2 linked regions of the Drosophila melanogaster genome follow. The protein of the gene in region 2 purifies or fractionates together with the protein of the main gene of each other region. This does not show direct contact. Each region holds a gene or a part of one and is shown on either strand. Other genes may lie near its edges.

Region 1 (11,093 bases), on a different chromosome or scaffold from region 2:
CTATGAAAGGGGTACTTTTTTTTTAGAATTACTGGGTGCATTACCATAAATTTTATCAGTTACGTTGCTCGATGTCGATCGAATTAAACTTAAATTTATACTTTAATCTGTATACTTCTGTTGTGTGTGTAAAAAATAGATTTATTAAAAAAAAAATGGAATAAAGGCAAAGCTGTCCGTCTAGATCCTCACCAGAACCTCGTAATTCTCCAGACGCACCTCCTCGCCACCGAATGGGATGTAGATGCAGCCGTGCGAGGGATGGATCTTGCCCACACTCAAGCTGTCGCAGTAGATGGCCCTGCCGACGTAGAGGGGCTCCCCGTCGACATTCGGACCGGAGGACAGGGCTCCGGGAGCCACATTTCCGTGCGAGGCCGGAACCCAACGGAATCCGGATCCCGTCAGCACCTGGACGTCGGTGAGCTCGTGCTCCGCCTGGGCATAGGCGGCATAGGCTTTCCCCTTCGCCGGCACCACTTTGGCTGGCAGCAGATCACCATTGCGGAACACCCTGCCCACGTAGATGGTGTCCCCGTTGGAATCGTGCCCAGCAACCAGAGCTCCATCCGGAATATTTGTTGCGGTGGTGTCGATCCAACGTTCCGGCTGGCACAGCACCTCGTAGGCAAAGATCTTAACCTCATCGGAATCGTAGGGAATATACAGGCAGCCGTGGGATGGATGCACCTTGCCCATGGTTAAGCTGCCGGCATGATAACCCCTGCCCGCATACAAATACTCGCCGTCCACATTCCGACCAACTTTGACGGCGCCCGGCGGCACCTCCCCGTTCTCCGCCGACAGCCACTCGTAGTTGTAGCCGGAAAGCACCTCGTAGTTCTCCAGCTCGTGCTCCTCGCGCGCATACGCCACGTAGGCCTTGCCCTTGTTGGGAATCACCTTCGCCGGCAGCATGTCGTTGGAGAAGAAGGCACGGCCCACGTAGATGGTGTCCCCGTCCGAATCGTGACCAGCCACCACGGCATTCGGCGGCACGCTGCCGTTGCTGAAGTGCATCCATCTGTGGTCTGGGGGATAATGGAAAAATGAAACGATTATTTAACAGCACACCGAATGGTATAACTCTTTAATTCTGTTGTTCATGGCAAGTAAACTAGTTTATTTGGCTAGGCCAAGTTAGTTTCCAAAATTGAATTAATTTATTTTGAGTTTCAACTGATTAAGTACTTTAAAGATTGGTAACTGTTTTATATCATCCACCTAGTTAAATGTTTTCATTTTTTGTTATGGCATCTTGGCCTTACGACCTATTTACCTGCCATTTTCTTGTCCGTTCTTCAGCAGCTCTGACTTTCAACTGTGAAAGTGGTCGATTTGATGGTCTTTTTGTGTTTCCGCCTCGATGTCGCTGATAGGGCTTATCGGGAATATACCTACATGGCCAGATAAGAAGCCCGACCTCAAGTGACTCAGATCTTGGCAAACTCTTGTTGAATTTCTAATCGATTGGCCAATTGGAAGTAATGGGGTTTAACATCGAGAAACAGGCAAGTTTATTTTATTAACCCATATAGTGAAAGTAAATATTGCACTAGAAATGTTATAAATGTTAAGTAAATTTGATTTATATTTTATTTTTTTATCTCGTTATAATTTATACATTTAAAATTCTTTCGAGTCGTCAAGAATGTAATTGCATTCATAATATCATAATGGTTATTACTTTTTTTTTTGTTGCCGACAAACTTTCTCGCTTATTGTTTGTTACATATAGCATATACATATTTCATGGAGCTGTAGTTAAACACAAAAAGTTTATTCCGCTTTTTAACATACTAATAACAATAGCTTGCGCGTTTACAACTCGTGGTTAACCAGTTATCTCGTTCATTTGTTGTGCCACCTTTTCGAGTTGCCTTACATCCGTGCATGTATCTCCATTTAACCGCCCAATATTCGCCAATTTGAATGGGGGAATCGCTTGATCCTTTATTTATTCGCCACATTGCAAATTTCTTGCGCGCGCTTTTCCGCTTTCCCACTTTTCCGCATTTCCACTCGTCCAGTCGTCCACGCACTTCACTTATTTAGTGGTCGCTGTCTTTGCAGTTCGTTTTCGTTCGTTTTCCTTTTGTTTTCCCAGCATTGTTGCCTCTTTGAATGATTTTTCTTGTTTTGCCTTTCAAGTGGATCACTGTTTTTTGTTTGCATTTTCGCCCATTTACAACTATTTGAACAAGGGAAAACGTGGAAAGCTGGGCGCAAAAGTTAAGAGGGGTTGCTGAAATTGCTGTGCAACGCAACGTTTGCACCTGTTTACAGTGGCTTGTGAATTCCCAATGCTGGACTGGTGGTAGGGGCTGTGTGGGGAGTGTCATTATTAAGCTTTACGATTTTTCCACGATTTCCCAGCAGCTTTGCGCGCCCTGCTCTCGAGCAAACCAATTAACCAGAGATAAGTCTAACTTGACTTCAAACTGGGTAAACAAGCTGCATTCTCGAAATACGCAAAAATGTTGCAGATTATAATACTTTAAATCAACTTTGTTCGGTTTTCGTTGTGCATCTTCTTTTTGTGGGTATGATGTTTTTATGCCACTGCAGCCTAATGAATTTGTTTTCGCCCAGCCAGGCTCCATTTGGCTTTGTGCAACGTTTTAACCTCATTTTGGCCTCTTTATTTAAACCCCCCCCCCCCATTTCTCTGTTTGGCCAACTTAATTTCACCTAATACATTTTAATCATTTCCACAGTACCACGAACTAAATGCCCTCCTTCATTAACCCCTTGCTGCTCCAACCCATCTATCTGTCACGCTTTCCGCTCTCGATTCGCATCCGTTCTCCATGGGTCCATCTTTGCTGGTTATACTTTTCTGGTCGCTTTGCTTATCCTTGCCACACTGTGAAAAATAAAGTTGGCCACACCTGGTTCAAGATTAACATAGCTCCTTAGTTCTCATCTTGATAAGAATACTACTTCTCTATTAATATTAAATTTAATTGTGTTATTTAATAATCCAACTTTATCAAGTACTTTAAATACATACTCCCAGTTTTTTTGCAGTGCATTTTCTATTGCAGGGCCAGTTGCAGTCGCGGTTTCGCTTTCTGGCCACACAATGCGGCAGTTTTTCGAGGGTAGCCAGGGGCGGCGAACGCAGGAGGGTTGCTTCTGGGCTAGGTGCATCCTGGTTTCAGGGGCCATCGCCGTGGGTCACATCCAGACGCACACATACATATGTATGTATGTATGTATGCATCCAAGCATGGACTCGCACTGTCTAGTCGTCGCCGGTCACTCACGTGGGTCTGCGGTTGCGACTGGTCTGGCTTTGGCTTTGGGCTTGGGTTTGGATTCCTCCTCCCTCGCGCTGATCCGCCGTATCAGCTAATGGGTGCAGAAGCAGCGCCAACGCTTATATAACCCGCAGGAATCAGCCCCCCAACCCTTGGGCCATGCCCACCCAACACTGGCAACATCAACAAACCAAAGCCAACCGAAATGTGGAGCATTCAGTGGATTTAATGGTGCGTCCTTGTTGTCCAGCACTTTAAGATGATTCAGCTTTAAAAGAGGGGCTGTGGTCAGGGGAAGGGGTGCGGAGTGAGGGGCGGGGGGTTGTGGAACACTTAATGGCAGTCATCTGGTAATACGTAATTAGGGGCGGGGTTTCAACTGCAGCCAGAGCTTAAAGTCTCATCAACGAGTCCGGCAATTTCAATTGTTGCCCAGGACTTTTTGCAATTGGCATAACCAATGAGGCGGTTGGTTGAGAGGGGCTCCCTCAAAGGTGGAGTGGGGGGGGGGGGGGAGGTGGTCATTCTGAAATGGGGGACTTTTTAAATACAGGGGGGAAACGGGTGGCTGAAAAGCTGGGTAGTCACTGAACTAAACTGCAATGTGTGTGTTTGTGTGTGTGTCCTGGGACCATTTATGATTTGTGAAAAGTTTCGTGTGCACCGAGCAATGCGGTTTCATTGCCAGTCACGCCCCCTTCCATGCCCCGGTTAAAAGGCCCCAGCAGAAGCAACTTTTATGCACAAACTGTGTAAATTATTTACCGAAAGTGCTTTAAGCACCCCACAAATCGGGCCCCATAATCGAAAATCACGCAATTTCACAATTTAAACACCAAAACTTAGCTTCTTTTCAAAAGCAATCTGAAAAGCTAAATAATAAACTAAATAATAGTTCTTGGTTTCTTTTATGTTTACAATTTAATTTTAATGTGCAGTTTAAAATGTAATCTATTTTTTTTTCTTACAACTTAACCTTTACTTAATATTAAACTTCCAGTTAACCTCCAGTTAACAAAAAAAAAGGAAGACTACTTTACTATATTTGAGAACTCCTGCTGTTCACTGACTAATCACAGCTGGCAAGGATCAAAATGTAGCTGCCTTTTGGGAGGATCCACCAATCTCGGCACAAAAGGGAACTTTTAATTATACAACACACCGCACCGCAACCCGCCCCCCTCTACCACCATGCACTCGACTTCGCTTTTCCGGGCATATCCTGCCAGTTTCCATTTCCCGGCTCATTGCGAAACTTCTGAGCGCAACTTGAAAGGCAAAATGGGGAAAAGTGAAGTGCGGAAAAGCGCAGATGTGAGGGGGGGGGGGGCGGTGGAGAGGGGGATAGGGATATGGCATTTTACAGCTTGATTTCCATTTGCCCATTGGCTCTTTGTTTGTTTGCTGGCCTCTTTCTCTGTGGGTTTTTCCATGACCAGCAGATTCAACTGGTGTCGGCTTGCTGCAACTAATAAACAAACAAAATTATAACTATTTATGCCATATATACAAACTTGAGCACTTAATAGTTATAAAATACAAAGACTTCTATATCCATTGTTAAAACTTTTATTCACGAATAATTATCAGTTGATACTGAAAAATGATAATAATAAGCGAACAATTATTGCTTAAATATTGCCTGAGTAAATATTTATTTATCTCTTTTCCAAGTGGCTTCAGTAATTAGGAAAGTTCCTTTTTTGGAAATTGGGCTAAGGGCTAAGAAACAACCTCCCCCCCGTTGCCACCTTGTTAACCCTTTAACAACATTTTCGGCAATAAAAACAAGTTTATTGCCGCACCCCCATGAATATTTGTCTTTGTAGCTAAACTTTTTGTCCCCAAGGAGCAATCGTCAGAAAATGTGTTTCATTGTAGTTTATTTCTTTCGCAGCTAGTTTGTAGTTGTTTAAGTTCAAAAAAAAAGTTGCGAATAAAAAAGGGATTAATGGAGTTTACGAAGAATTTCGGCGGCTTGGTTCAAATCGGGCACGCTTAACATATAAGCATAAATATGTTTAAATGCTTATTCAAATACATATGTTTAAGTGCATTTCATATAAAAAATGGCTAGTTAAGTATTAAGTATAGAAAAAAAAACTGTAGGTAAGTAAAGGGAAATCCCTTTGACCAATTTTTAGAACTGACCACTCAGCTCGTCGTCAAAATCGGAGGTGGGTGGCGTGTCCTTGACATCCGCCCGCACCGTGTACTCCTTCTCGTTGACACTGTAGTAGATGTTGAAGTACCTGCCCGACTGAATTCTCATGGCAAGGTAGCCACTCTGGCCGCGATCCTTGGCCGTCCGCTGGTAGATCACATGTCCGCTGCTCAGGATTACGCGCACCTCCTGCGAACCGTCCTCGTTCTTCCGCGCATTCTGCCGCATGATCTGCACCAGCTGCGTCCTCAGTGGATTGGAACTGGGCTTCAGGCCCGGCAGCTGAACGAGCGGCTCACAGCGGCAGTTGAGCTTCTGGGTGAGTGGGCATGTGGTCTGGGGATTGGGTGACGAGCCGAGCAGTTGGCCCGGCACCGCGGCCACCGGCGCCACTGCACCCAGTCCCAGGTTGCCCAGATTCAGGCCGCCCAGAGTGCCGAAGCCGCCGTTTAGCGAACCGAGTCCCAGGCCGTTGATCAAATTGGGCAGGCCACCCACCCAGGTTCCGATAAGTGGAAGATTCTGGCTAAACTGAGGCAGCCAGCCGGACTGCGGCTGCTGGCTCTGGGCATTCGAACTGGAGGCCACAGGAGTCACCACCGTAATCGGCTGCAATGGCTGCAGAGGCTGAAGTTGCTGCAGTGGCGGCAGTGGCTGCAGCGGGGGATTCACATTAAGGCCATCGAAGAAAACGGGATAGTTGCCGCTGGAACCAGCCAGGCTGCTCTGGCCACCATTGGCGGTCTGGGAATACGATTAAGAGGAAAGGTAAATGTTTAAAAATTGATTGATTTAACCTAAAATCTACACCTAAGTTTGCCACGACTAGTTTGCTTCAATAATCACTTACCAATTGGCGTTTGTCACGGCGTTCCAAGGACTCCATGGGATCGTCCTTTTCCATGGATTTTTCAGTGGAAGTGGGCATGGGTGTCCTTGTACTTGCTGTCGTTGTTGTGGCTAAAGCCAGTCCAATAGCAATGGCAGCCATAAAGATGGTAAAACTTAGAATGTTGGCCATGTTTGGTTGCTCAATTGTATTTTTTAAATATATATATTTTTTTGTATTTTGTAAGGATTGTTCTTTATCAGACTTCGCTTTCAGTCGCTTTGCTGTGGTGACCAGGCTCGCCACTTCTTATATATGATTTTTGTGGTCATATCGCGATATTAAATGATATTTTGGGCTGCAGTTAATTGAACCAGATTTGCCAAGAATCAAAATGGTTTTTAACAACCAACAAAAAAAAAACTGGCTTTGCCAGTACACAAAATGTGGGTCAGCATTTAATAACGGCCATATACTTATTTATATATTCCTGCAAAATTACAGCATCTTCATTTGAATGCTTATGGAACTTAAATTCAATAACCACACAATGGCCAACATACAATGCCACTGGTGGATCTGCAGGTGTCCATTAATTTTCCAAACCTGTGCAATTAATTTACCAAGCGAATTCAAACAAATTGCTTACCTTTACTCGGCCCATCTCCTCCATTGTTTGCCAATTTTACACAAATTAATTCCTCATACATTGCACACGCCTAAGCTAGAAATCTTTGCCCACAGATATACTTACTCAACAAATGGCACATCACTTGCATGGCCATCAAAAACTTCAAGAATTGGGCATTGCTCATGGATTTTAGAAGATATTGTATTTTGTATTTTTTGAAAATTCAAAAAAAAAAAGTCGCAATGAGGAAAATGTCATTAAATATGCCGGCACATAAAAATACACAGTAGCTATATAACTTTTTGACAAATTGCCTGGGGCTTGCCATGTCCAGCGGCCAAAATCAAATCAAATTAAATTTGTGCCAAAAAAACAGGAAGAAAAAGAAGAGGAAACGCAAAATGCGGCATGGCTGGCGGAAAATGTTTCGTTTGCATGGAAATTTCGTAGTAAGATTTTAAATTTTCCCGAAGGCAAGAGAGGGAAACTAAGAAAGAAGTGGAGTGAAATGAACAAGTTGCTTGACAGCCGCTTGCTGTTGCGGACTCATAAATCAAAAAGTTGCACATTAAAGACGCCTTTGGTTCAATTAAATAGAAATTGAATTAAATTACAAAGCTGCCTGCCCTTGAAAACGTGCAAAACATCGATGCAGAACCAGGATTATGAACGAAATAAGCGGCCAAAATGATTCAAAGTGTTAACCGGTTTGTCGAGCAACAAGCCCTAAAAATAATACTTTAAAACGTTGAAAACGCTTTTATGACACAAAGGTTACGAAGACAAAGAAGTCCAGGTAAAAAATTAAAAAGAAAAAAAAAAACATAGTTAAACATATTAAAATATCACTTCAAGCAGTGCAAGTAACATTTGAATTTTAATTATGTTAATGAAACACATGTTCTAAATAAAAACACAGACGGTAACTGAACCAATGAACTTCGATCACCCCTGGAACAAACAAACTCCGAACCAAATACCCTTTAGCACATTTACGAGCTTACACACAATGTGGCGATTATAAAGATTTTTACAATCCTGCATCTGAGCTCCCCCTCTCACCCCCCCTCCCCCATCATTCATTCAGTACATATGCTTATTTACTGATTTTCATCATTTTTCGGTTTTAAATGATTATATAGTGATGCATTTTAACCCTTGGCTGCTGAACGGGGTGATAAGAGTATTTAACATTCCTGGTAATTGAAAATTAGAAATACAAACAGTAGGCAACGCTGCGTATACGTAATGTGAGGAACTATAAATGTAAATTAATTATTGCTTGAAAATTATAAATTATTATGCATTATTCTAAATAATATTCCTGGTTAAAAAAAAAAAAAAAATAAAAATCATTGCCAGCTTAAACGTAGCAGTTTGAAACAAATTAAAGTCATACACTGCGTATGAGTAATATTCTTTTTCAAGAATTTAATATAATAGCATTCTCTACTTTTATAGAACAAATTAAATAATGCGATTATAATGAATACTAAAAAGCCATTATTTTAGTGACAAAATATTTTTTGTTCAACATTATTTACTTCACGGGTTAAGGCCACTTTGGCTGGTTCATTGTGGGCTCTTCTCCAAAGTGGTTCAAAGCCAGCTTATTTGCCGTTCTGGCGTATAACGGTATTGTACATATATAATGCATATATATATATTCCCGATGTTTAGAGTGCAGCCGACGATAATGGTGATGATGATGATGATGATGATGCTGATGATGATGATGATGATGATTCAGTCAACTTGAATTCAGCTGCAGCCTGCAGCGACTGACTGCCTTTGATTCGTATAAATACAAGTCCGGGCCTTTTGGCAGCGTGCAAAAGGCAAGGAAAAGCGCCCGCAGACATGTCATCAAACAGAATCCGGCCGGAGTTGGTACTCCTGCAGCTGCTGCTACTGGCGGCCACATTAATCCCTTTGCTGCAGGCCGGGATAGTTACAGCTCCGTACTCCGAATCGGATTCGGATTTGGATTCGAATCCGGACACCACCGCCACCACCATCGCCACCATCGCCACCATCACCACCGACAACTACAACCCGCATGCGGAGGAGCTGCAACTGGAATCGGAGACGGAGGCCACTGCTGCTCAAGTGGATGGCCAACGCATCGACTGCAAATTGACTTTCGATGCGGCGACAATGGACTCGTTAGGCTGCCACAATGAGGGGGCGTTGCCGGAGAGGGGGGCGTTACCAGGCAGTGGTAATAAGCCGGTGGAGGAGATGCCTGAGGCAAATCCAGACTGGCGGCGCCACTTGAAGTCACCGGACAGCCAGCCCATCTATGAATTACAATTGGTTGTTTGGCCCAGTGACATCGAGGACGGTGATGACTTCAGTCCACCGCTGTCCACTACAACAACAACAGAAGCAACAACAACGACAGCTAGGACCACTAGAGCCACCAGTAGCACCACTAGCATCACCCCCAAGCCCACCCAAATTGGGACACCTATTGAGCAAATATGGCCATTGTACGAGGATCAATTGGTTGTATTTCCGCAAATGGACTTTGAAGAGGAGAATCTTGATTATTTCTTCGACGAAGTGCCACCATCCACATCGTCGACCACCGGTCGCCCGTTGACCACCAGTCATCCCACCGGCACGCCCACTCCCACGCCCATTTATGTTGTGCAAAACTATCACGTTATACACCCCAATGGCACCGAGGAGTACAAGTGAGTGGATTGTCATTAATTAATCAAAACAAAACAAATATTCAAACTAAATGCAAACTACGGTTTTTGAATATATGTACATATATGTAAAATTTTTAAACACAAGTAAAATACCCTAATCAATCATGTTACCAAATCCCCCCTAGATTGGTGATGAGCAACGGCCTGGTGAACTACAAGAAGCTGTACTCCAAGAAAGTGGGTGACCGGTTGATCAACGTTCAGGAGGGCTACAATTCAGTGCCCATTCCAGGACCTAAAAACCAAATCCAGACACAGTACTATATTGCCGACGAGCGGGGCTACAATGTCTATAGAAGTGAGTGTGTCCAGAGTTGCCATCAATAGTGATTGTATATTCCATTTTCCTTTCTTCCATTTTCCCACGCCCCCTCCTGCCGCCCGCTCAGTCGAGCTCCACTATCACCAGCCAGGGTTGTTGCCCAAACATTTGCATTACAAAGCCACAAAAGCGACCAATATGTGAATGAGGATGGGCAGGATTTCCAGTTGGCGGCACAGTGGTGCTAACCACTAAGTAAACATATATATATTTTTTTTGCATTTTTTTTTTATAACTTATTTTAGCTGAAGAGTTTCCAATAAATTGTAAAGAAAACTTGTATTTTTATTTAGTGTTTGCATGTGAAATTAAACAAGATTTTTTAAATAGTTTAAACTGGCATATATACGCAGATATATTTGTATCTTTTGCTTGTGAGTTAAGTTTTTAATTTCAGCTGTGCTTGCATATAGTTATAAAATGTATAAGTATTTGTTTATTATAATTTTTCGACCCAAGGTTCACTTTGTTGGGTGCAAAAAAATGGCGAAATAAAATGTAGAGCCCACAAAATGATTTGCAGTGTTTTTATTTTGTTTGTCTGTCGCTTTTGGTGTTACGTAGTATATGTTTTTTGTTTTTGCGTTTTTTGTCCATTGCTGGCATTTTGTTTTTTTCACTATTTTTATTTCACCAGATTTTGCAAGCACCCAATGTTGTTGTTGTTGTTGTTGTTCAGTCCGATTTCTATTCTATTTGCTGTTGCTTTCTCAATCGCAGTGCTACTGATTGCCATCTTCGGTGGCTGCTGTGCAGCTGCTGCACTGGGAGAAAGGATATGATATAGATAGATATAGATATAGATATATAGATATAGATATCTATCTATCTATCTATAGATATTAGATATGATATGATATATATAAGATAATATTGCTGAGATATTTTGGTACATCTGATGTGTTTTTTAATAGGTACAGAATAATGAAAGTATGTTATGATAACAGGTTTCAGTATTTAGCCAAATAAATTAATTTAAAAATATATGTTTTTAGTTTTAGCATTAGTTTTAGTTTAACTAATGTGCATAGCTCTATATTATATTATATTATATTTTATTCCTTTAATTGAATCATTTTTATTGAGTTTTATTATCTATATTTAACATTATTCTTACAATCAGTTTGAGCTTCTCTGAGTGCACGTTGTTTTCTCACTTAAAAA
Region 2 (11,093 bases):
GTTGGGACTAAAAATAGTTCGCGTTTTGATATGTCTTACGTCAATATCTAAGTGCCGCCGCAGCTATCAAGAAAGATATTGATTGCATTGGCTTTTGGACGAGCAAGTGTAGAGCCGATAGGTAAACAAAATCTGCAAAGTCTGACAATCGAAACACATAGCACGGTCAATGGCCCCATCACGTTTTTCTTCGTCCACCTCCATATATAGTATGACTTATGCTATTATCGACAGAATTCCAACAGTTGTCAAACAACCGCGTCCATTACTCAAATTTTATTAAACATCCAACATCAACAACGGACAACTAATAAACAAAGCGGCTAAAATTCGTAAAAAGCCAATTGCACTTTAGTAACGCTTGTTTAAAAATAGTTTGACTTATTCTGACGTATATTCGCAGATGCTGCCTAAATGGAACTGTTCAGATGCGGAAGTGCCTTATAATCATGGCATACCTTTAAAGTTTAAACCAATAGTTTTGTACAGCAAGCCATCTGCTCTACGGAAAATGCTAATATACCCGTTTTCATGGGGGCACGCTCTTCGACTGCCGGCTCTTAATCAAAAGATGTATTTACTATTGAATCGACTTTGGACACAAAAGCGAGCTATGACTGGTTATAGAGCTTCTGTAAAGTGACTATTACGAAATAATTCATTTTATGTTTGTCATAACTCCGATTAGTAAAGTACCGTGACCCGCTCAGAAGTGAAACTCAAATTTATTAAGCTCATGCAGGGACTGTAAATGTTTTATTCGGCGACTTACTTAATACGTAGACTTTAAAAGCTGGTAATGAATTCCAGCTGCCAGGCAGCGACTAGCAAGTCGTAACCACTAGGTACGCAATGTCTCTCATTGAACTTACTTGCTTGCCAATTGATGTAATAGCACCAAAAGTGGGGTCACGCTTGAAAAACTATAGTCCAGCGCTAAGGCCAAATCGTAGCTTTGATGTTTATGACCGGATTGGACAACAAGTGGAACCATTCAGGGCTCCTAAGAAAAGGTTACGCCAAACTTGCAACAAGGGCACAGAAAGTCGCTTTCAGAATTTATTTATATCTGTTTTAATATAGCAGCCGAAAACGTTAGCAGGCACTTACTTCATTAATTGTGTTTACTTTAAGTGGCATAGTTAGCCAAAATCAGCGCAATTTCCATCTGTTGCCTCACTTCCATCTTATATTGTATACATTATTTTGGCACATAACTTAGCACACCCCAGAAGGCGGCGTGCCATCTGCAAATCTTTCGGCTAGGTGGGGCACGCTCACAGGGCAGTGTAAATAAATCTGTGTATATTCGCTTATTCTGAACGACTTAATTGAGTCGGATGGCCGACCTTTGAGGTGTGCAAAGTTCAGGCTGCTGCCTTCTCCAATTAGTTTTGCACTTGGCTGGCCTTGGGCTTAAAAACAGGCTTTGACAGTCCCTCAATCTTAGACGGGATTCACGGACTATGTCCGCCGTGAGGCCAGCCATCCAATGCGACAACGAGGGGAGTGGGTTTCATGAATGAGCTTTTATAAATATAAGAATAAAGCAGTTGTGCACGTTCGCATACCAAACTAATGGAATATTATCGCTCGGCCATCATTACTTATTCTGAACGGCCCCACCGGGGCACTGCATATTACCACAAATGTGTTTTCACCACCACACCCGACTAAAGCTAGCTATTGGCAGTGACTAAATCCTAATCGCTCTGCTAACACAGAAAGCACATACCGCCGCCATCAGTCTTGACTTCCTCAACTATAACATACCCGCTACTCAATTTCATAATCCTTTTTTTTTTGGCGGATCAGGGGCAGTCTACGAGGAAAGGGTATAAAAACAATACCTCTCCCTCTGGCACGTCATCACAAATTGTTTTCCATAAAAGCAGTAGATCCAAAAAAAAACCCCATTGTGCTCCACCCATGCTTTAAAGTAGATACACTGCTACGTGAGAAAAGTGCGAGTACATGGCTCCTCGCCTTTTAGATGCTATGGCATCGAACCAAGTTGTTGACTGTCCCAATAGCGAAATAGCTTGTGTGGGCAGTTACTCCGCGGCTACTGGCTGATGATTTTGATGTATTTAGCAGTGCTTATCGCGGTGAAACCTAGTGAACTTTGGCCAGAGCCGCCCTTGTGAAACTGGGAAATGAATTTGACGAAGAGACGACGGGTTACATATCTACTCAGCCACAACCCGAAGTTCTCCGTTGCTCACAGTCTGAGTGTTGATACTGCGTTACAGCTGCTAAAAGAACAAAGAAACCAGAAACCAACACAATGCGAAGCGCAGCTAAAGCAAACAAGTAAAACCCGCTAAAGCCAGGGAAGTGCGTAATAGCGACAGAGTACTCCGGAGAACTAGCTCAATAACACATGTGCGGAGTACTACTAGCCAGGACCGGAAACAAAAGCTCTAGGGTGAGGTGAGAGCAGGCGCGGGAGGTTCAAGATCCCGCTCTCGTGCTGCCGAGGAGTGCAGCTTGATATAGAGAGAGGTACTAGACAGTGGAAGTACTTACTGCTCCGGTTCCCCTCCTTGACGCGGTACGTCAGGTTGTGAAAGGCCAGGTCCACCGCTGGTCGCTTGGGGAGGTGCTGGAGCGTCTTTGGCTGGGCGGGTACTATTTGAGCTTTCAACTGACCCGCTCCGGCTGTGCCCAGTCTGTTGTCGTTCAACAGATTTGCATTATCGTTCTTAGTCATCTTGTCAATCAATCAACCAGGGGTTAAAAAGCAAAATGCAACCACTGTGTTGTGTGTGTATTCTTTGTAAACTTTAGCACTGACAGCAATACTGCAGCCCCTGCTGCCCTTCGTTCCCGTTTGGTTTTTCGTTCGCGTTCTCGATTCGATTCCACCACCGTCTGGTCCGGTGAGAGAAATTTTCCACCCGTCTGCTCGAAACGGTACTGCCGCTTCTCAAATATTAGGACTTCACTCGCTCGCGCCGCGATCGCAACTGAAATAAGCAATTGCGGCAGTGGAACAAAGGCAGAAATTTAGGCAACCGCTGACAGAGAGTGCCATCGCATACTCTCACAGCCCCAATGCTTTACGTCTGTGGTTAGAGTGGGACGACAATAGAAGCACTACTTCTGGTGGGGATTCTAGTGCGATTGAGAGGCACTGCGGGTTGGCTCTCTCTCAAAAGCCAGCGCATTCTTCTACTAAGTCTTGAATGAATTTGGGAAAAGCCTATAATCTGTGAATATTCCTCGATCGGCGGACCCATGTATCTCGAAATAAAATACCACTAACTAATTTCGAGGAAAGTCTTTACCTTGAGGAAGGTCTTTGATTCCCAGTCTTGTACTTTGATTGGTTTATCAGCCTTTTATAGTAGTTAGTCCTGGAAGCTAAGGTTCTGGCCATTGGTTTATTCAATCTAAGTTAAAAGTTCACGGCCTCGCTCATGACTCATGAGTTATTGGAGGGGCTTATCTATGGGTGTCAATCTACAGCTGATAGGAGTTTTCAATGAGCCGATAAGGGGTTGTACTTTGTCATTTCGTGTTTTACGTAAAAATAAGTTAATCGGTGCCGTAATTCGTTTAAAGGAGCTCTAGTACGCTTTTTAATGGTTTGCTTACGCGACATTTTACCTACATTTTGCTTTTCCCTACATTTAATGTGGCATGAGGTCATTTGTGGCTATGGCGTGGGACGACCTTACAACTTTGCCCCAGAAACAGTTTTGTGGTATATCTGAACGCAACAGTTAGATGTAGACATTGCTGTAAGGCTCCTTGTTGGCATGCTTTTACGATGCTCCGGTCTATATTTTGCCCAATCTAATTGGGATTTACGGATTGCACTGGGAGTGCTAATAACGTTTAGTTAAACCGGTTATTGTATATATTGGGGCAAGTAAAAACGTAATGAATTGACCAACAAAAGGTATTTTCCCAGTACAAACCGCAATTTGAGATATTATTCCTAGTTCGGTTTCTGGGTTCAAATCAGCATACAGCACTAAAGTTATGCAGTCGCCTTAAGATATGAAAGAATAATGTATTTCCACTGGCAATTTCCCGATGACTATTGGCTTGGAAATTTTTTAAAGCTTGTGGCTAATCAAGTCACGGAGATGTCAACAATTGGCAGGAATTGCAAACCGGTTGTTCTACACTTGTTGATTTCGTTTTATAAACGGGGGGTGTGGTATATTAGATGTGCCAACTAAATGTGATGCATTTTGCTTGAGACCCGCCTGATTCGGCTACTTACAGATTATTATTTTCCAAAAACTGCTTCCAACTATACTGGTTCATGGTGCCGTAACTCAACAGCTACTGAAACCATCGCTTTGAAGCAACAAGTTGCCTTCGCGAAAGCTAAGTCGCAGGCAATAACGAATAGGCAGTCGAAACCCAAACCGAATATAAGAATTAGCGATTTTGTATTTGGTTGTTGCACATCGGGTGTAAAAATATGTACACTCTGCTGGAGGGAAACTTTCGTAGTTTCTTGCGAAAACTGAAGCCGGCCAACTAGTGGAAACGATGCCACGTAACTGGAAAAGCGTAGACGGCTATATGGGAATTACTCGGGTCTATGGTGAAAAGTGGCACTCACACATTGGCACATAAAAGTTTCCTCTGTTTTCCTTGTTTTCTTTGTTATGCCCACCTGAAGCTCTCCCAATATGAGCCGTCCAAAAAAGCTTGCTTTCCCGCCAGAAACAGAGTTTTAGCTTTATTTTAACATTAATCCTATCTGAAATATACTCATCCGTTCTTCAGTACTTTCCTCTAAGTTACGAGGCAACCAACAAATAATTGGAAGACATATCTGTGGTCTCGGCTTTTGTGCGACAACATGCCATTATGTAGGAGGGAGTGGGCCAATATGCGTGGCTTGATGAACGACGGCCTAGGACTAAGTATAATCTGTAACAAATAAATATTGAATATCCTCCACACAGGATATTTAGATCAGAATTTACATAGCATTTAAATTTCAACGTTTTACATACTCAGCCTAAAAGTTGGCTACACTGTGTACTTATACTGCTATTTTAGTTATAGTTTTAGTTAGATATATTTTTAATATTCAGAACGTCGTATGCGAGACCCAAGCCAGGAATAGGAACATTTAGTACCGAATTTACATATTATAAACAAATCATTATTGCTTCATTTAAGGCTCTATTAATGCGGTCCACCACAGAGTTTATCAAATGCCAAACACGAATAGACACAGCTGATACGGTGCTCCTTGCATTCGCTATATTTAATTGTATATAGTGAACTTTGTACCAGGCGTGTATTCAAAACAATCAGCCAAAGAGCAAAATGGTGGAGGTTTTTACGAAGAGATTACGAGAAATGAGAGAGTGTTGTAATAAGTAGTACTGCTGAAATGCATCTGCATACTGCGTAACCTATCATAGTTTCTGAAATGAATTTATCAAAAATGTAGAACTTAATTTGTGGGTTCTAAAGTGGGCCATGCACATAAATGGTGCAGGTGTTCTACGATGAGAATTACTAAAAACTTTTGTTTTTCATTTGGCGCTAATGCAAGCTACAAGTGCTCGAAATGCATAAATGAGCTTATAGCGTGTGCTCAGTAACGGGGCTTTTGGCTACCCGACTAGCCTCGAAACATAAACATTATGGGTCGCATTGCAGGTCTCTCTGGCTAGTGGCTGCGGAGCGGGTGCTCATATACCGCCAGTTTTGAATGCTCTCTGGGAGGCCTTTGTCTGTGCGTCGGCGTCGCAAACGAGATAAAGAAAAACCCGAGGCGCGCGACGAAACAACGAAAAAAGTGAATGCTGTCGCGCTAACTGTGCTCACAAGACTTCCAAACATCGAATTGGTCGGGTGTCCCCAACAGTCGCTCCGCAGCCCCTGACAGAAACAGAAACGAAAACCGAAAGTACCGCAATCCAAAATTACCAAAAGACCTGTCCAACCAGCGACTGTTTAACCAATCATATAACTGTAAAGTGGAAAAACGAGCAGAGCACGGTAAGTTGTGCGGAAGACTGCGTCTTCACTGGAAAAGTACCCCTTTTTTAACTACCTCGGAAAATCAAGTGCAAGGAAAATAATTACATAAAAATTCATGAGAAAAGCAGAGTGAGCCAGCATGCCACCAGCCCTTGCCCTTCCTGCGCACGTCCTCACATTCGCCAGCAATACATAACTAACCGTGTCCTTTTGTCCTTCTCGCCGACTCCAATCCAAGAACCAAGATGGCACTACGCGTGGCAGGACTCTTCCTGAAGAAGGAGCTGGTGGCTCCCGCAACACAGCAGCTGCGTCTGCTGCGTACTGGCAATACCACCCGCTCCCAGTTCTTGGCCAACTCCCCCAACACGGCTCTAGACAAGAGCATTCTGCAGAGGTACCGCAACCTGGAAACGCCGGCCAATCGAGTGCAGGCTACTTACTTATGGATCGACGGTACCGGCGAGAACATTCGCCTCAAGGATCGCGTTTTGGACAAAGTACCCAGCTCCGTGGAGGACTTGCCGGATTGGCAGTACGACGGCAGTTCCACCTACCAGGCCCATGGCGAGAACTCGGACACCACGCTCAAGCCACGCGCCATATATCGCGATCCCTTTAAGCCGGGAAAGAACGACGTAATTGTCCTGTGCGACACCTACAGCGCCGACGGCAAGCCGACGGCGTCCAACAAGCGTGCCGCGTTCCAGGCAGCCATTGACCTAATTAGCGATCAGGAGCCCTGGTTCGGCATTGAGCAAGAATACACTTTATTAGACGTGGACGGACGTCCCTTCGGCTGGCCGGAGAACGGTTTCCCAGCCCCACAAGGTCCTTACTACTGCGGCGTGGGAGCTGACCGTGTGTACGCTCGCGATCTTGTGGAGGCCCACGTCGTGGCCTGCCTGTATGCTGGGATCGACTTCGCCGGCACCAATGCCGAGGTAATGCCCGCGCAGTGGGAGTTCCAAATTGGTCCAGCCGGGATTAAGGCATGTGACGATTTATGGGTGTCGCGATATATTTTGCAGCGCATAGCTGAGGAGTATGGCGTAGTGGTCACCTTTGACCCCAAACCGATGGAGGGTCAGTGGAACGGAGCCGGCGCGCATACCAACTTTTCCACAAAGGAGATGCGTGCTGATGGCGGAATCAAGGCCATCGAGGAAGCTATCGAGAAGCTGAGCAAGCGCCACGAGCGGCACATCAAGGCATACGACCCCAAGGAAGGCAAAGACAATGAACGGCGCCTCGTGGGACGTCTTGAGACTTCTAGCATCGATAAGTTTTCTTGGGGCGTGGCCAACCGGGCCGTAAGTGTGCGAGTGCCGCGTGGCGTTGCGACGGCCGGCAAAGGATACCTCGAAGACCGGCGGCCAAGCTCCAACTGTGATCCCTACGCCGTGTGCAACGCCATTGTTCGCACCTGCCTGCTCAACGAGTAGGCTGTGAGCGGTGCAACAGATGTTTAATTTTTTGTACATTATGTTTTATGGAACTGTGAAGCGTATCCGATCATTTGGTTATATTTACATTGAACTGAAGCAAAATTTAGTTTGCTTGTGCAAAAAAGACAGGAGACCGAGGCACGAAAAGCGTGCGCTTAGAATTTAAGAACGTGGGTGGGTGGCAAGAAGAACTAAGCTAAAGCGAAATTTCCTTAAAGCGATGGGGCCTCATGAATACTTTGCCATATATCTCACAAACTACGTATATCTATCATTGCTTTAATCTAAATAATAAAAAACATTGTACTCTACGTTAATTTTTTGTACCTTTTAGATCAAACAAACATTTTGGGATCCGACGTTGAATTCGGTCAACGCCATTTTTTGCCCTTAACTTCTTGAACGCACTTTTTTAATAACTCCTAAGAGTTTCTAAATGTAAATTTAAGAAGGAAATATCACTGAAATCGGACGATATGCATATTAATCATTCATATCCATGAGCACGAATACACATATATGTGAAATATGTTTATAAAAACCAATTGTTGATTAGAAGTTGTTAAAAATAAAATACTAAGAAATTAATTTATGTATATATATTGGTACATATGTATCTCACTTTACGGATCTGTCGCTTCACTTTGTTCGGTAGCATTTTACATCATTTTACTATATGCTGTTATAATATAAATGTCTAAATACTAGCACTAGCAAAATTAAAAATTCCATTGAGATACATAAATACATTTTGAGTAAAAGCAGAACTGCGTACAAAGCAAAACACATTACTACAGACTATTTTATTTTCTCTTTTCTGGCGAGCTTTTGAACAACTGTTGTTGCAATGACTGTGAAAATCAAAGTTTTAAAATATAGAACAGCTTGCTTGTAAATAAGAGTGACATGAGGGCACAAAAACTAGCTAAGGCAAGACCTTGTTTTTAATGGAAAGTTTTCCACCACAAACAGCTGCCTGACACTGAAAGTATTCAAAGACTAAATCTTAGGGTTTCCGTTCAGAATATGTGTGTTTTTCGCTCAACTGACACACACCCTCGTATATATGTACATATATGTATGTTTGTATGCTTGGATGAAAGATATGGCTGCGAAGGAGACAATGCTTCCATATACTCGTATATTCCCAATGGCAATATACTGCGTCCAGCTGATAGGGCAGGGGTACTGCACTCTGGGATGGCAGGCAATTGCATTTCCCTGCAATCTTATATTGATTGAGTATAACCGCGAACTCAATCGCTTCAAAGGGGGGCTATTAAGTGTGGTTATTATACTTAAACTTACAAAATAAATCTTAAATTTGAATTAAATTAAAATAGCAGATACTGCAGTACTACTAAACTGATATTTAATATACATACATATGTATGTATCTAGTATGTCTTCGAGCATCTAAAATTGAGTGTGCTTTTTTTACTGCACTTTGCATGTCCGTTCTCGCAATTGTTGACATTCTGAGGTGCAGTTAGCGGTGTTTGTTTGGCTCTGCTGGGAGCGGATTACGGATTACGGGGTATGCAAATGTAATAAGGTTAAGAGGGAGAGATAAGGCCATCCAGTTTATACAAAACAGTGTTAAATACACAGAGATAGTTCGACCAAGCCAGCCAGCCGAAAGAGGCACGGAATCATCCGTAGTCAGACCATCTATAGCTTCGTTAACTCATCTTTAAATGTTCGAACGCATTCCTGTGCCCAATTCCAATTCGACTATCTAATATACCCGTTTTCCATTGCAGCATTTGTGGGCACAATGTAGATACTATAATATATTTTAAAATCACATAAACAATCGAATCAAGGCACTAGCCTGTTATGGCCACAGAACTCAATAGTTCCGCACCGTCGCCCAAAAACCAGATTATTAATTAATTGAAGCAGGTTCATTGGTATGCATGAAACACGTTCAAAGATGTCAACATCATACAATGCAGGCCTGAGGAGATCCAGTTATGCTGCCTGAGACCAGGCGATTTGCATAAAACGGAATGATAAGCTGGACACCTGATTTCGAAACTATTGATAACAAAATGATATTGATATATCACTGAATCAAGTGATCAAAATAATATATTTTTGCTCTAGATAAATGTAGGCAACGATCGACTGGATAGAAATATAAGCTTCACTTACTCTCCTCACCTTCCTATAAAATCTTCAGTTCGTCAGTTCACTCGGTTAAAGTCCAAGCAAACTGATAAGACAGTAAGGCCACGAAGTTAATCTTCCGGCTGCAAAAGCCTGTCCAGCGTTTACCATTATCTTTTGTACCGTGCCTTTTACTTCTGACTCGGTCAGAAAAATACCTCCGCCTGGGTAGGGTTATCAAAGGGCAATAAATCATACTGGCTGCGGTTGCGAAAATAAAATAATGTTGAACCATAATTGATCAAATCAATTCCATATAAAGAGATGAAATAATTTTACCCAGACCCCTGCGAATTTTATTTAAATTACCTTAAAGTTGGGCACGATTGTGGAGCGTGATTCCTGAACGGCCTGTCACAGTAAACTCATCTACTGATCGACTCTTGTCTGGCCAATTGCAAATTACCATTTTCAGAGCCTTTAACTGGGTCAAGACATTCGCTCGCCTTGCAATGGGAGTGGTCGGAAAAAGCACTGATAACAGCGGATTTACGGACTCAATGCAGTACGTAATGTGACAAGCGGCAATAAACGGGTAACAAAACAGAGCGAATCTGTTGTGGAGCTGCTGGTGAAATAATCGTTGCTGGGGGTGCTGTTTATTTTTATGTGATGTTTCTTTTGGAGCGCACCAACTGCTTGTTGAGATTATGTTTTATAGCGCTACTTTCAGTCCGCGCAATCGTAAATGATTGCTCGATCAAAATATGTGGTCGCACTCTGGAGAATTATAAAACCTGTCAGGTACAAGCAGATACATAATATATATAATATAATCCTATAATTCTATGTCCTGTGACCGATGTCCAGCAATTAATCGGTCACGTAGCGTCATTTTGGAATGAAAAGAAAAAGAAAAGATTTGCGGCCGCAAATAGTTTACTACGCAACCGATTTTTCCATTTTATCTATGGCGGGTGTCGATACGGTGGGGTTCTTGCGCAAACACAGGCAGCCAACAAGTGCTGTCTTTTATCTGGCCTATTTATCTAATTTCCCACTGCTCACGCCATTCGCAATGTTGTGGTCGTGATGAGCGCCTATATTTAATTTGCAGAGCATATAGATGTCTGGAACTGAATCACCCAACAGCAGGGTCGGACTGCGTGTTCTGTCTTAGTTTTCCAAAGAGCCCAAAGATCTTCCTCCCCCCATTTTATGCCGCTTTTTTTTTTTAGAACACCTCCACTTTACTTTCTCTGCCACCACACGCGATTCCCAATATTTGCGTCATGGGCCCACACGCGTCTACCAAGTGATCTGCGATCTGTTCCGTGCGTTTTGGCGCATCGCATCAGACAAAGTTCAATCCCCCGATTCTTGGGGTAATCACCGTAGCCAAACCGATGACGGGCATATGGTCAGGCAAAGGTCGTCTTCTGTGGCACACATTCATGCGCATTACTTTAATTTCATTTTATTGTTAATTGGTTTGTGTCAGAACGGCGATTATGTTTCTAAGTTATCAGTAAAGCGTCCCGCTTTTAGTTGATAATGAGATTAGGA

Evidence for each region. The genes of interacting proteins can lie anywhere in the genome.
Region 1: the proteins of Gs1 (region 2) and CG32631 purify together in Drosophila melanogaster (affinity purification with mass spectrometry, with the first as the bait; one large-scale study listed by BioGRID). This does not show direct contact.

The regions. Positions count from the first base shown.
Region 1 is NC_004354.4:13,551,904-13,562,996, reverse strand, and holds CG32631 (uncharacterized protein), read right to left. Parts: upstream 6,526-11,093; 5' UTR 6,449-6,525; coding exon 6,278-6,448; intron 6,172-6,277; coding exon 5,404-6,171; 3' UTR 5,131-5,403; downstream 1-5,130. Other genes in the region: CG32633 (uncharacterized protein), read right to left, coding at 181-1,031, 1,280-1,286; CG11816 (uncharacterized protein), read left to right, coding at 8,748-9,586, 9,733-9,905, 9,997-10,073.
Region 2 is NT_033779.5:126,271-137,363, forward strand, and holds Gs1 (glutamine synthetase 1), read left to right. Parts: upstream 1-5,806; 5' UTR 5,807-6,212; coding exon 6,213-7,412; 3' UTR 7,413-8,202; downstream 8,203-11,093. Other genes in the region: CG3164 (uncharacterized protein), read right to left, coding at 2,530-2,672, 4,238-4,281.